2 linked regions of the Rattus norvegicus genome follow. The protein of the gene in region 1 interacts with the protein of each later gene in a pairwise test. Links are inferred from orthologs where the notes say so. Each region holds a gene or a part of one and is shown on either strand. Other genes may lie near its edges.

Region 1 (3,559 bases):
GGAGTCACATGGTCAGATTCACACACTGCTTGCTATTTCAAGAACTGCCTGCAGGGGGCAGGAGTGACACAGAAGACCTGTGGCTAAGACCCTGGAGCAGGGGAAGGAACTGGGAGGGGTGGGCAGCTCAAAGCGGTGACTGATAGTGTCTCTCTATGCAGGGGCTGCTTGGCGTTCTCAGGCTCCTATGCTTGGGGCAACTTCACTATCCTGGCCCTGGGTGTGTGGGCTGTGGCCCAGCGGGACTCTGTTGATGCCATTGGCATGGTGAGTTGGCGGTGGGGAGGTGGCTCCATCCGTGGGCCCCTCATCTGCCCCAGTCTTCTCTCTTCCTCACACCCCATCTTTTTCTGTTCTAAAGCCCTGCACACGGCAAGCCTAGCCAGGCCAGCTACACAGCGACCCACCTCTGCTGTTGTCCCCCCAAGACAGACATGGGGGGAGGTCACAGAACCCCAGTGTCTCCTTAGGAGAATTACAAAGGGGTTTGTTTCCCTTGTTTTCTTGCAGCGAGACCAGATGTTATGGGCTCCAAGGAAGTGTCCCTCTCAGAAATTCTGGAGATAGGCCCCTCATGATCTCAATGGCAGGAGATGGGGGTGGGGAATTATGGGGCAACAGGTTAGAGCCAGACTCTTGTGTCCATGCTCCTAGACCATGCAGGTGTCAGTCACAAGATGCCGGTCACCAGCCTGGTGTGTGTGAGGGAAACTTGGGGTCTGGTTGGGTGTCAGTGTCCGTGATCCTGTGATGGTGTTCCTTGCAGTTTCTTGGTGGCTTGGTTGCCACCATCTTCCTGGACATTATCTACATTAGCATCTTCTACTCAAGCGTTGCCGTTGGGGACACTGGCCGCTTCAGTGCCGGCATGGCCATCTTCAGCTTGCTGCTGAAGCCCTTCTCCTGCTGCCTCGTCTACCACATGCACCGGGAGCGAGGGGGTGAGCTCCCGCTCCGCTCGGGTAAGTCCCACTCCACCCCGCCTGCCCCCGGCCCAGCCACCAGTCTGGTGTGACTTCTTCCTGTTGTCAGGCAGACTTGGTGGCCCTCCCTCAGTCCAGAGTACAAGTGGAGGCGTGGAGTTGCTCAGCTCGCTGTGGCAGCAAGGAGCCTCTGCTGCGGGGCTGCAGATGGCTGTGGGGACAACTCCTTCCTCCTGTTTCCACCCAGCCCTGCCTCTGGAGGTGTGCGCTCCTGCCATGTGGGGCGTACCCTTTCTGAGCAGGCAGGCCAGGGAGCCCTGTGTACCAGCCTTCTAGACTCTGGCTCAGCCCACGCTGTCCTCTTTGGTGGCGGGCCAAGCCATTTTCCTGCCCTCTCTGACCCTGCTCTCCTGTGGGAGCTGGGTGTGGTCTCCAGGTGACCTGAGGATCCCATGAGAGAGTGCTGAGCCAGTGCCAGAGTGGCCTACGGCTGCCCATTCTGGTTTATCTCTGTGCTCACCTAGACCTGCCCGGGTGTGAAGGGATCAGACAGGAGAAGGAAGGTCCACTGCTCCTGGGACTTGTCCATGGTCTCAGGGCAAATATACAGAGGGAGAAATGTGAGAGACACAGGTGCCTTCTGTCCTGCTCTGTACTCTCAGCCCCAGCCTTCTGGGTACAGCAACTGTGTCAGGCCCTGTGGCTTCTAGAAATGGTGATTTATATGGGTCCTAGCGCCTGGCAGACAGCAGGAAGAAAGTCTGTGGGCTCAGGACTGACCCCCTCCTCAGGTACCTGAGCGTGTGCTTCCGGGGCAGATGTGACACAGTAGCCATTGACCACAGGAGCTGCTGTTTAGGTTGGACCCCAGTGTCATCTGCTTCATGCCACAGGGTCTTAAATCAGCCGGTCTCTCTGACCCTCGCATTTCTCTCATCTGCAGAGCCACCCATACCGATGCTAGGCTTGAGTGGACGCTGCTTGGTAAAGGCCTGGTGTCTGGGCTTCTGCCACTGCCCATTGTCCTTGGTATCATGATGCCAAACACTAGCCATGGCAGATGGTGGATCTGTCTGTGCTTAGCAGAAGGCCCCATGGTCTCATTTTCTCTATCCACTTGTTCCCTGTCCTCTAGATTTCTTCGGACCTTCTCAGGAACATAGTGCCTACCAGACAATTGACTCGTCAGACTCACCTGCAGACCCCCTTGCAAGCCTGGAGAACAAGGGCCAAGCTGCCCCCCGGGGGTACTGAAGCTGTCCCTGGCCGTCCTGGGGCCCAGCAGGATGCTTGTCACCTTCTTTACTGGACCTACAATGGGGTATCCTCCATTCCCTGCCACAGAGGTGGCCTGAGTCATGTGCCCTCGGAGGTCCCAGCTGAGAAGAGCCCAGTCCTAATTCTCCATGCTGCCCCTCCATTCAAGACACCTGTTAACCCCTGGGCTAGAACTGTGGTTGGTTTCTTCCCCTCCTCCCCATCACTATAACACACAACCGCCGAGCTGTGCAGAGTGTTCAGGGCCATCCAGGCCTTATGGGCCAATGATCACTGCCTCTCAGGCTACCCCAAGGTGACCCAGCCCTTCTGGAAGCTCTGTGAGCTTGTGGTCCTGCTCAGCCTGTTCTGCACAGGAGCCAAGTCCCTGTGCCTCTCAGTGCCTCATGACAGTGCCTGAGAACCCCAGGCCCAGATGCAGTAGGTCTGTCTGCAGAGGAGCCCTGACATTAAAATGCAGGGCCTCTGGGCCTGCACTAGGTTCCAGCCATGTTTGTGCTCCGAGCTGGGACCCACCCTGCCGTCTGGGTGTGACTTCGCCCTAGACTCAGTTGCAGGTGGAACATAGTTTCAGCCACCCATTATATCAGCCAAATGGGGTGGCAGAGGAAGTGCTGGTCGGTGTGGCATGTAGACAGACATCTATCCTCTGATTCTAAGTGACTAATTTCACTGCCTCTGATCCTGAACCATGAGGCAGGGCATGGGTGGCTTCCTCTAGCCTCTGCGTTCTGACCACAGTCGACTGCCTCCTGAGGTGCCAGCGCTCCCACTCTTACTCACCGGCAGACGTCTGGGGACAGATACTTGAAGACTTATGGGGAGCCGCAGGCTGAGGTGAGAGTCCTGAAAGCACTCTCTGCACACGAGACAGGCCGGGAGGCTGAGTGACAGCATCATTGGTGGGGTCACTGCGTCCATCTGCTGCGTCAAACACAATCCCATGCAATCAGCACCTAACCCAGACCTGGTTGGCATCCACACTGAGCCCAGTGTGAGCAGAGTGAGGAGCGGTAGCTGTGATTTGTTTAGGCTGAGTGCAGCACAGTGTAAACAAGAGCTGGGGCCCAGAGACTCAGAGGCTTAGAGGCTCAGCCGCAGGTAAAGGAGTCTTCTACTGAGCGTCACGATGTGTGTTTGGTCCTTGGAACCGACTTGCGAAAGTTATCCTCTGACCTCCACACTCTTTGTCATGGTTTGAGGTTTTACACACACATACAAACACACCACAAACAGATAAATGTAAAAACAAACCCAGAATATTAAAAACGTGCCTGGTGGGTGGTTAATGCCAGCACTTGGGAGGCAGAGGCAGGTGAATCTCCGAGTTAAGGCCAGCCTGGCCTACAGAGCGAGTT
Region 2 (4,080 bases), on another chromosome or scaffold:
CTGAACGCGCCGGACTTTATACTTATTAGGAAGAAATTTCTTTTTAACAAACGGCTTTTTATAAGTGAAAGTCGCAACACCAATTACATGTGCGTCAGGTATTGGGAGAGCTCTCCATTCCTATCAAATATGCAAAGGGAAAAAAAAGAAAAACAAACAAGAACTTTTCTAACCAATTAGCCAAATGCTACCCTAGCAAAGCCTCTGAGGTGAATTGGGGGTCCCTGGGGCGAGGGGGTCTCCAAAGATAATTTCAGAGAGCTGACAGAAAAGGTCAAAACGCTCTGCAACGCCTACTGAAAAAATTCCAAGAATGTTATCTTTTACCAGGGTCCAGGAGGCGCCGGGCGCCTTCCCGCTAAATACCCTAGGAAAGGATGCAGCTCCAAATAGGTCCTTTAGGGTCGCGCTAGCGCGGCCCGCGAAGGCTCGCACGTGGCGCCAGAGGAAGACTCAGCCCCCGGACCAGGTGCTCTGATTGGTCAATGGCTGCCAGGGCCGAGTATGCACCTGAGCAGAGTCCAGAACCAGAGGGCACTGAGGGGAACAGCAGCCACGCGGGCAACTCCCCGAGCTGCAGGTCCTGCGGGTTGGCCCCACGAACGCAGTCACCATCCGGCTGCGCCAGCCCACGTGGGCCTTGGCTCGCTGCAAGTGCCTTCTCCCTCCTCCCCCACGCAGGGTTGCTCTCACCTCAGCGCTTCTGGCGCTTCCACCTTGAGCTTCTTGGGCTTCGGCTCGTCCGCAGCTGCCATCTTCGCACTCTCACCGCGGTTTGGCTCTGCCGCGCGTCCCGCCCCTCAGCCCGGTGGCCCCGCCCCTCTGCTCGTCCCCGCCCCCTTTCCACTAAGCCCCGCCTCCCTGAACTCCGCCCAATCCGTGACTCTGGTCTGTCACCATTGGCTCTACGCGCGTCTGAAGTCCCGTCCCTCCAGGACCTCATTTACTACGGTAAGGGACCCAAAACGCAGTTAGGCTGCGGGTGAGCGCCTGCGCTCAGGGAGTGCCAATCTCCCTGTTCCTCCAGACCCTGAGTAATGTGGAAGATTCAGAGCCTCAACCTCCGGAGACACCGTGCCTCTCGCTGAACGCCTTTCCGCTCGTTGTTTCTTTCTAGTCCCGCTGACCTCCTCGGCGCCTCGGAGGCTGCTAGTCAGGCAGTGTGTTGGGCACTCCAAGCGCGGGGTCCTCGCGGCTTTCTCTGCTGCTTCAGCTTCGGTTCAGAGAGGACCCGGCACCGAATCACTGACTCGCCCAGGTGTCGGGGTGAGTGTGAGGGCGGGGAGTCTCCGGGTTGGAGACATCTCAAAAGCCGGGGAACAGACTGCATAGCTCCGGCTCGGGACTCTCTCTGGGGCTCCAGGAGTGTCCCTGCTGCTGTGCACCAGGGCCGCGCCTTCCCCCTCACACCCGGGCTTCCTAGTCAGCTGGGCCGGAAGGGAGCGGTGCACCTGCCACGTAGGGTTCTCGGACCCTGGACTCCAGGCGCGAGAAATGACATCTACAGTGAGGTGGGGTACCGACGACTTGAACTTGTCAGCCCCCAGGTTTGGCCGTGGAGGGCAAATCCCCCGATGACGCTAAGAGAACGCTTTCTTTATAGGGTGGTGCCTGGACGAGCTAGCCTGGGATGGGGAGACTGTGAGAAGGGTGTAGCAGCTTCTCACGAGACAGGTGACAGGGCTGTAAACGGAAAAGGCGGCTTGGAGTATGGAAGCGTGATGAGTGGATGAGTGGATGTCATGGATTTGTTTAGTACTGAAGCTTTAACTTCCTGGTTGAGAAGTCGGGTCACTCGAAAAGCTTTTTTTTTTTTTTTTCAGCATTTATTTGAGATTTTGGCTTGGAAATACATTACACAGAAGAAAGGAATTTTCTGCAAGCAAATATATAAATCTCCTTCCTTTGTATTGAAAAAAGAAAATGTGCCCCCTTTGTTTTTAGAGAGGACAGGACCTTTACCTTCCCACTGCTATTACCTTCTGTTTCTCAGTGCCTTCTGTCTTTTAAACTTTATTTTTGCATTTACTTGTTTGTTGTATTGTGTGGCATGCCACAAAACACATGTAGTAGAAGTTAGAGGACAACTCCTGGGCTACAATTCTCTCCTTCCACTATGAGGATCTTAGGGATCAAACTCAGGTCCTTAGGCTTGATAGCAGACACTTTTTTTTTTTTTTTTTTTTTTGATGAGCCATTTCAGCCTCCTTTTCCTACTTGCTGCTTCTAGCTAAGAACCATACTGCAATGTCGTTGCCAACATCCTACTGAGTTATCACCAAAATTACTTTAGCCAAGATCGCCGATGTCCATTTGACATCCAATACGACAACCATATATTCTTGGTATGGATTTCAAAAAAAAAAAAAAAACAAGTCTTGGAGCTGGAGAGATGGCTTGCCAGTTAAGAGCACTAGGTGCACTTTTGGAGGACCCAGGTTCAAGTCCCAGCCCTCACTCAGTGACTAACAACTGTCTGTAGTTCCAATGCCACGGGGATCCTACTTCCTCTTCTGGCTTTTCTGGGCACTGCGCACACAATGCACAGATAGACATGCAGATAGAGCACCCTTACAAATAAAATAAAAACTTTAAAAAAAAAAAAACCTACTTGCGAAGCAACAAAAGTTAAACCCTTCTTTAATGCCTAAGTCATAGATGTACTTTAAATAGGCATATGTTACTTTTTTTTTTTCTAATTTGTGTGACCTCGGGTGGGAGATGATGGGGTAGAGATGGCTTAGTAGCTAAGAGCACTTGCTGTCCTTACAGAGAACCCAAGTTCAGGTCCCATTACCCACATTGGGTGGCTCTTAACAGCCTATAACTCCAGGGAATGTGGTGTACTCTTCTGGCCTCTGCAGGTCCCTGCACGCACATGGCATATACTCACAGAAGTACATACAAAACTACATCCAGAAAGTATTGGGTTCTGACCTGCCTGAGGTGGGTGCTGGGAACTGAACTCTGTTCCTCTGCTGAAGCAGTGCATGGTTTTAATCCCACCCCCTGTATCTCCAGCTTCAGGAGATCCACCAGCCACTCCTGGCCTTCACGGGTCTGCACTTTAAACATTCACAAACCCACAGCAAATACACATAATACACATTTAAATTATAGGAAAAAAGACTTATCAAACAATCTGTAGGGAACAATATGACTGGCCGAGGGGGGAAAGACTGGAAATTTAAAAGATCACTGGTAGCCAGAAATCATGGCATATACCTTTAATCCCAGCACTTGAGTGGCAGAAGCAAGCAAACTCGTGAGTTGGAGGCCAGCCTGGTCGTCAGAATGATTTCCAGGACAGCCAAGGTTACACAGAGAAACTCTGTCTTGGAAAAAAAAAATAAAAGAAAGGAAAATTGTAAAACCTTTTTTGAGACTTATTTTTATTATTTTTTGTATTATTTGGGGTTTATTTGTATTATTGTATGTGTTTGTATGTGAGTGTGTATACATGACTGCCGTGCCTATGGAAACAAAGGGCAGTAGATCCCTGGAGCTAGAGTTATGATCTGCCTGATGTAGGTGCTATGATTGAATCTGGGTTGGTTGGGTTCGGGGAAGGGGGGAGTTGTCTGGGAGGGGGGGTGTTTTGTTTGGTGTTTTTGTTGTTGTTTGGTTTTTCAAAACAAGGTTTCTCTGTGTGACCACTCTGGCTGTCCTGGAATTTGCTTTGTAAACCAAGCTGGCCTGGAACTCACAGATATCCCCCTGCCTCTTCCCTTGAAGCTTCAACACCAAGCCCAGCAGAATCTGGGTCTTCTGTAGGAGCATGTTTAACATGCTCTTAACCAGTGAGCCATCTCCAATCTGGAAAAAAAAAACAAAAAATAAAACAGAACACTTGTGTTCATCTTTTTAAATCCTCACAGCTTGACTTCTTTGTAGCATTCTTGTAGAAAGATACTAAAAATCTCCCACGTCCTTCCCCATCTTAAAAACCCTGCTTCACTTCCATCTTAGGGTCTGTCTGTCTGTCTAGTTCCACTTCCTTGACGCATCTGCTCCGCAAATACTGGCTTTTCTTTCATAAATGTTTCTTGCTGTGTTCATAATCTCTTTGAATGTAATTCT

Evidence for each region. The genes of interacting proteins can lie anywhere in the genome.
Region 2: the proteins of Agtrap (region 1) and Ap3m1 interact in binary tests that used the Homo sapiens proteins (3 or more experiments, as listed by UniProt). The two-hybrid records come from large-scale screens. The link is inferred for Rattus norvegicus from reciprocal best matches to the Homo sapiens genes AGTRAP and AP3M1.

What each region holds. Positions count from the first base shown.
Region 1 is NC_086023.1:163,792,122-163,795,680, reverse strand, and holds part of Agtrap (type-1 angiotensin II receptor-associated protein), read left to right. Parts: intron 1-161; coding exon 162-267; intron 268-766; coding exon 767-962; intron 963-2,058; coding exon 2,059-2,177; 3' UTR 2,178-3,559. UniProt on the Homo sapiens protein: Appears to be a negative regulator of type-1 angiotensin II receptor-mediated signaling by regulating receptor internalization as well as mechanism of receptor desensitization such as phosphorylation.
Region 2 is NC_086033.1:3,294,979-3,299,058, forward strand, and holds the start of Ap3m1 (AP-3 complex subunit mu-1), read left to right. Parts: upstream 1-1,239; 5' UTR 1,240-1,266; exon of another isoform or gene 1,267-1,511; intron 1,512-4,080. UniProt on the Homo sapiens protein: Part of the AP-3 complex, an adaptor-related complex which is not clathrin-associated. The complex is associated with the Golgi region as well as more peripheral structures.